Linked DNA regions of Mus musculus. The main gene of each other region encodes a partner of the protein of the gene in region 2 in a complex. Links are inferred from orthologs where the notes say so. Each region holds a gene or a part of one and is shown on either strand. Other genes may lie near its edges.

The links.
Region 1: Zfp541 (region 2) and Cir1 share a complex: the UniProt entries of both Homo sapiens proteins name them as parts of the histone deacetylase complex. The link is inferred for Mus musculus from reciprocal best matches to the Homo sapiens genes ZNF541 and CIRSR.

The regions. Positions count from the first base shown.
Region 1 is NC_000068.7:73,306,090-73,309,908, forward strand, and holds part of Cir1 (corepressor interacting with RBPJ 1), read right to left. Parts: intron 840-3,819; coding exon 766-839; intron 350-765; coding exon 339-349; intron 253-338; coding exon 188-252; intron 1-187. UniProt on the Homo sapiens protein: May modulate splice site selection during alternative splicing of pre-mRNAs. Regulates transcription and acts as corepressor for RBPJ. Recruits RBPJ to the Sin3-histone deacetylase complex (HDAC). Required for RBPJ-mediated repression of transcription.
Region 2 is NC_000073.6:16,092,291-16,096,109, reverse strand, and holds part of Zfp541 (zinc finger protein 541), read right to left. Parts: coding exon 3,749-3,819; intron 3,272-3,748; coding exon 3,183-3,271; intron 969-3,182; coding exon 828-968; intron 691-827; coding exon 509-690; intron 420-508; coding exon 251-419; 3' UTR 1-250. UniProt on the Homo sapiens protein: Transcription regulator which is essential for male fertility and for the completion of meiotic prophase in spermatocytes.

The DNA.
Region 1 (3,819 bases), on a different chromosome or scaffold from region 2:
TCTGTATAGTCTGATAATGTACTATAAGGTTTTAAAGCAGGCTTGAATGAAGCGCACTGTTTGTAGGAGGTAAGTCATTAGAACACCCTCTCACACCAGTCCTTGCCCTGGTCAGTGAACCTTAACAAGCAGGAGGCAAGCAGGAGCACACACAAGCTTATGCTTTCCCCGTACAGAGCAGCCTCACTTTTCTCTCGGAGCGCCTTTCTGCCATTCAAACTTGTACTCGGTCTCTCCTTCCGTTTCTTCTTTCTACAACAGTCAGTAAAAAAATCTGTCAACTGTCCATAAAATCACAATCAACTACCGATCAATTCAAACAGAGAAAAGTACTTTACCTCTTTGTTTTCTTGATTGCATATTCAAAGCACAGGAGGGAAACAGGACAAGTTAGAATGTCTACTACTTATCACTGACGGATATAATACAACACTGAAATATCGTTCAGAATAGGCAGTTTAGTTCCTAATTTTTAAGCTTTTATGTTTTCACTGGCAATGAGTAGACTTTCCATTTGGAGATTTATTTTAATAAGGACCACAGGTATGTTTACATTATGAGAGGGCTGAATGTACCTCTGCCAGTATTGAGCATTTTCCTCCAAAGCACATAAGAAACATTAGAAACTGTTTATTTTGCTTTGCACATGACAACATTGTTAGAGCAACAGCAATGGAAAAATACAAATCAAAATTAAAATACTGTCCCCTCTTCTAACTCTTTACAGGTAATTACATCAAAGCTCAAAGGAAACGAGGCGGGTACCTTTCTTAACTCCTGGTGGGGCCTCGTACATGAAATTCAGGCCATTCTTCACACGTTCATCTCCCATAAGCAATCTGAATGAAATAATGATAAAAGTTTAAGTCGAGAAGAATATGACAGCACACTATCTCTCGGAAGGAACCCTGAAGAAATTAAGACAAACCCTGAACAGTGCCTCCTTACTAGAAACTTGCCATAAACCTGAGGCTCCCTCCCTCCCTCCCGTTCTCTCAGTAAGAAAGGAAAAGCATGGTATGGTTACTCTAACAGGATTTTCTTTAAAACTGTCAACTGTTGCTGAAATAGTTTTGAAATCCTGTATGCTATTATATATTTTGGTGCCACAACCTTTAATTTTCTTTAAAAAATATTTAGTTTTTTTCTTTCTGGCTTTTTGAGACAGGGTTTCTCTGTGTAGCTGTGGCTGTCTGGGAACTGGAGTTGTAGACTAGGCTGGCCTTGAATTTACAGAGACCTATCTCTGCTGGGATTAAAGGTGTACATCACCATGGTCAACTATTTTAGTGTTGTTAATTGTGGATTGTGTGTGTGTGTGTGTGGGGGGGTGGTATGTGTGTGAACGTGCATGCACGTGGAGGCCAGAAGCTAAGGGTGTGTGTGTGCTTTTCTCATCCACTCACCTTATTTGTAAGTCACTGTGTGGTGTGTAGAAGCATGTCTGCATGCCTGTGAACTCAAAGGACAGATTTGTGCAAATAGCTCTTTGCTTCTATCTCTGTGTGAGTCTTAGGGATCGCACTGCCTTTACCCGTCTGGCCAGCCCTCCAGCTTACCTTTTAGACATGGTCTCTCAATAAGCCCGGGGTTCACACTGACTGGACTAGAACAGTAAACCAGCAAGCCCTACCTCTAGAGAACTAGGATCAAAGGCACCTACCACAATTTGGCTTTTTATGTGGGGGCTGGGAATCCAACCTTAGGTCCTCATGCCTGCATGATAAACATTTCACAAACTGAGGTAACTTCCCAGCCCAGAGAACCAAATTCTCTAACAGGCTAATACAATGAAAGCCTCAGACGTTCTTAGATTTTTGGTAGCAATTGAAATCTCCTTCTGTAGACTGTGTGCACAGCATGCTGTTGGGCTCTGTAGGGAAAAAGTCCACTGCAAACAGGATGACTATGCTGAGTTACACATAAGTCCCTAAGATCCAAGGTAAGTATTAAAAAAAAGCTAAAGTATGGAATGTCTTTGTATTTGGAAAGACAAGTCAAAGGATATTCTACATTATTGTGTGTAATTCTCTTTTCTCCATGAATTCTATACCAAAAAAGTCTGTTAAAAAAAAAACACAGAAGAACATACATACACATCTTTATTGAGGATTATTACTATTTTTATTATTATTTTAGATTTATCTATTATACATAAGTACACTGTAGCTGTCTTCAGACATACCAGAAGAGGGCATCAAATCTCATTACAGATGGTTGTGAGCCACCATGTGGTTGCTGGGAATTGAACTCAGGACCTCCGGAAGAGCAGTCAGTACTCTAACCACTGAGCTGTCTCCCCAGCCCATAGAATATTATTTTTAATCAAGAGGAATGTGCACTAGTGTAAGTGGTGGATGATCTTCAAAAACATGTTAAGGGAAAGAAATCAGGAGCCCTAACACGGCTCAGAGGGTAAAGTTGCCACCACCCAGGACTGCTGGCCAGAGTTCAATCCCTGGGACCCACATATGTGAAGACAGGGAGTTGCTTCCCACCAAGCTGTCCTCTGACTTCCACATGCGGACCAAAGTCCTCATATGCCACTACACACACACACACACACACATACACACACACACATATAAATAAATATATTTTAAAAATTAAAATAACAGCCAGGGCGATACAGAGAAACCCTGTCTTGAAAAAAAAATTAAAATAATAAACCAGTCACAAAAGACTCTGTAATCATTTGCCTCATGTGTGCATAATTTTAAAAACTACACTGTTATAGGTAGAAAGTAAAAGGTGATTACTTGTAACAGGCAGAAATGAGGTAAATTAAGAAATGGGGAAATGACTCCTGTGGAGGTTTGAATAGGAATGGCACCATAGTCATGCGTTTGAATGCTTGGCCACAGGGAGTGACAGTCTTAAGAGGTATGGTCTTGTTAGAGTAGGTGTAGCCTTGATGGAGGAAGTGTGTCACTGTGGAGGTGGGCTTTGAGGTCTTAGATGCGTAAGCTACACCCAGTGGGGTATACAAGTCTCTTTCTGATCAAGATGTAGAAGTCTCAGCTCCTTCTCCAGCACCATGTCTGCCTGCACGTTGTCATGTTCCCCACCATGACAATAATGGACTCAACCTCTGAACCTCTAAGCCAGCCCCAATCAAGTCTGTCCTATGTAAGAGTTGCCTTGCTCACAACGTCTCTTCACAGCAATGAAACCCTACCTAAAACAGCTACTAATGTGCATCAAATTTCTTTTTCAGATGACAAAATGTTTTGAAAGTTGATATGGTGATGGATTACAAACACTAAACAAAGTTAAAAATTCAGGTGTATTTTAAATATCTATGAATTTTGTCTTAACACCATTCAACCTTTTTAAATCAAGTACATGAAAAGGTTAGTTTCAGTAGACATTGAGAAATACAAATGAAAACTGCAAGCTACCACTCCATACTGATCAGCATGGTTGCTAATATATGGGCTGAGATATAACTCGGTTAGGAGAATGCTGGTCTGACACACGGGAGCCTGTGTCGGCTTCCTAGTGTCACATACTCCAGGTGTAGTAGCACATGCCAGCACTTAGGAGTTCAAGGCAGGAGAATCTAGAGTTTTAGGTAATCCTTAGCTACATAGGGAGTTCAAACCTAGATTAGGCTATGTGAGACACTGTCTCATGAAAATAACAATGATAATAAATAAGGATTAAAAAAAAGAGAGAGAAAACCACAAAATTACAAACACCAATCAAGTAGGAAAATGAAATGTTCTGCATTAATAGTCAGAAATGTATTTATAGAGCAGTTACTGTGAAAAAGTTTGGTGGCTCCTTAAAAAGCTAAACCAAGAATTACCTAGAGAT
Region 2 (3,819 bases):
TCCCAGGGTCCCCTCCAAGTGACTGGGACGGCAAGTAAGCAACTATTAACCAGGAGATAATGGAGCTTCTGATGACCCACATGACTGCAGAGCTACCTGGAGGGCTTCTGCCTGTTCATGTCCAAATGCTAGCAAGGCTGGAAGTGAGAGGACAGAGAGGATAAGAGGGCCCCAAACACTTCTGAGAGGCCCAGGGCACTGGTTCAGAGCTGAATTCCCCTCTCCTTGCAGACCAAATTCTAGCAAGAAGTCACCACTGCAAGGGGCCCATGTCGGCCCCCAGCTCCTCTTCTTCCTCCTCCTCTTCCTCCTTCAGTGGGTAGGGCTTCACAGGCCACTTCACCCTAACGGGTTCCACATGCTCCTGGAGGCGGTGGCGCTTCATGTGGGCATTCCGACTCTTGATCTTGTCGAACACCCTGAGGAGTCAAAGGATGTGGGTCAGAGCCAGAGGAGCTTGGGAAGCAAGTCAGGCCAGAGGGTGAAGGTCCAGAGGGAAGGCTGGTACCTCTCACACTCTCTGCAAGGGAACACGCCCTGGCTCTCCACACTCCCTGGAGGCTCAGGAGTGCGCTTGGGGGCTGCACTTGGGCTGGAGTGAAGGATAGACTCTCTCCTGTAACTCTTGGTCTTTATCTTTAACTCAGGAGTTGGACGGTGGGTAGGTCTCTCTCGAGGGCTGCAAGTCACCTACAGAGAGGGTAAAGATGACCTAAGACACTGGTGTGGGACCATGTCTTCTTCAGGGAAACCTTCCCTTGAGAGCCTCCACCACCCTCTGACTGGACCACAGAAGTACCCAGACCACTTCATCATGCATCTTCTACCTTGTCTTCAGTCCTTTCTACTTCATCCAGCTCTCTTCTGCCCCTCTTCTCCAGCCCAGGAGCTCGGCCACAATCAAACTTAACCATCTTTTTCCAGATGTAGTAGTACTCGACACACTGTGCTACACTTTTAGTCTGGATCTAGTGGGAAGGAAGATACAGAAGCAGGTTGTGGGCAGTACCTCACATGTGAACTCCACCCTGGAAATCCCTTCCCCAACGTCTCTGCCCATGGCTGGGCAAAGGCAGGGATCTTGGTCCTTCTGGGTGGTGAAGGGTCCAAAGTGAAGCCACACAGTAGCCATCAGCACTAAGTCCAGCATGCTTCTTCCCTGTAGGAAGACACATAAAGACCCACAGGTAAGGAGGCTCACTGGGACATTACAGCAGGCAACAGCCAAACTCGGTGAGATTAACACAGAATGCCTTTCCTCTCTGGTGAGCTTCCAGCCACCACAACTAAACATAGCTGAGGAAGCCCTCTAGGGAAAGTAGCCCCATGAGAAGGACAGTTATGAGTGTACACAGCACTCAAGCCCTGTCACTTATTCTTGCAAAAATACGACTCCTGGGCTGAATGTCATACCGCATGTCTCTGGAGGCAAGGCAAAGGCAGCATGATTTCTGAGAGTTCCAGGACAGGCTGGGTACATAGTGAGTTCCAGGCCAGTCAGGGATATAGAGCAACTATTTCTCAACAAACATGATTTTTGGTGGATGTCTTTAATCCCAACACTTTAGGAGGCAAAGGGCAGTGAATCTATATGAGTTCAAGGCCTGTCTGGTATATAAAAAAAGTTCCAGGACAGCTAAGGCTGCACAGAGAAACCCTGTCTTGAAAAACAAAACAAAGCACCAATCAATTAAATAAACAACAAACCAATGACTTCTAGATCCCAGTGTAGTGAGTGACATGGGGCCATAATCCTAGATCTCAGGAGGTTGAGGCAGGAGGACTGAGAGCCTGAGGCCAGCCTGGGCTACACACTGATGCCTTATATCAAGAAAGAAAGAGCCTCTGGATGGTGGTGGAGGGAACAGAAATGGAGAGCTGGAGGTGGGACCTAGTGGTAGAGAGATTGCTTACTATGAAAGAGGACGTGGGTTCCATTCCCAGCACCAAGCAGAGGAGGCAGCAGAAGGGAGGTAGGATGGGAGGAAACTTTGGCTGCCCAGGAAACTTTCCCAGGAAATTAATTGGCCAAGTGAGCACCTCACTCCAGAGTACACTTTCTCCACATGGATCTGAAACTGCTTATGTGCTGTCACAAACTAGAAGTCAACAAGCACATCCTCTGCTTAGGAAACAGCACCAAGTTAAAAGGAAATGGAAGCTGGTTTCTGCTTCTGAGAAAGATAGAAAGAACAACAGGAACGAATTCACCTTCTAGCCAAAAACGACCAAAGAAACAGTGCTGGGAAGGGTAGTGAGCTCTGAGAGCAGACTCTGTACATGATGCTCATAACCACTTTATTTTATAATTGCCCAGCCTGGAACCCCCTCAAATGCCCATCAACTACAAGTGATTAAATACAACTGTAGTACATCCATGCAGCACAGTATTATTTAGCAGCAGAAAGGGTGAACTATTAATAAATGCAACACAAATGAACCTCAAAGTAAGTATACTGAGTATAAGCAGCTAGATAAAGTGTGAAACAAATGCTGTTTGGCTGCCCTAGTGATACAAAAGTCCAGAAAGTACAGCTTTCTTACAGACCAGGGCTGACCAGGGACATGGAGGGTTAGGCACAGTGGCATGTGCGATAGGCTGTCAGGGAAGGAAGAAGTACTGGGGCATCACAGAGACGTGGCTATCTTGCCTGTGGTGACAATCCTATGGATTCATACATATGTAAAATATTTGTCCCAGTACCTTGATTATGTGTAGTTTTATGTCTTAAAAAACAAAACAAAACAGAAAAGAGTTGGGTGGTAGTGGCACATCCCTTTAATTCCAGCAAAGGCAGGTGGATCTTTGTGAGTTTGAAGCCAACGTGGTCTACATAGTGGGACAGTCAGAACTACATAGAGAGACTGTCTCAAACAAACAAACAAACAAACAAACAACACCAAAAAACAAACACCAACAACAAAAACAGAAGAGAGAATTAGGTTTTATGTTCATGTATTTTTCAGCACATGCACAGGAGTAAATCAGGACAGAGAAAGGCAGCAAGTGCTGAGCTGGAGTGAGCAGCACTTACTGATGAGAAGCAGTGCAGCAGCAGGGTAGCCTTCTAAGGTACTGAAGCGTAACAAGCCGCTTACAAGGTACTGAATGTGCTGCAGGCAGGTAGGGACAGTTGTGCCCTCGAGGCAGGGCTTGCTGCCCCAGCCCTCTGTCATCTTACCATCTTGTGTATCAGGTAAAAGTCCTTCTTGTGGGCACAGAATGCCTTCTTGAAGAGCCTCTTCTCCATGGGGGTCCAGATGTCTGAACCTGCCGGGGAGCAGCCAGGGCAAGGTAGGTTTTTCTCAAGGGACCACAGCCTGACTGACATTATGAACATTGATGATGTACTAATTTCAGTCTTCCCTGGTGTTACAAAGCTGGGGACTCACTATCCTCATGCTATAGATGTGAGCAACTGGCTGGGGCCTTAGTGGCCTAACAAAAGCAGGTGGGCTCAAGCTGCCTGACTTTGATGTGCTCAGCTTAAGTTCATATCCCCTGCTCTAGTCAGGAACACTGATCTTGCTGGAAGAATTCTGAGTGAATGATGGAACAGGGCTGGTGGGTTTAGTGAACTCAAGGCAGTGCCTGCTGAATCCCCCCTGGAAAGAACAGACCCCTTCAGAAAGACAAACAAAGGCTCTGGAAAGAAGGCCAAGGGGAAGAGGCAGAAGTGAAGTTTGCTATCAGCCCTGGCAGGAATCAGCCAGGTCCCCGCTATCATGCAGCCCTTTCTCTTGTCACCTGTGTATCGATAGTCAGCCAGTGGGTGAGTCCGGGGCTTCTGGGGTCCTCTGAGTAACAGAGTCTCCAGG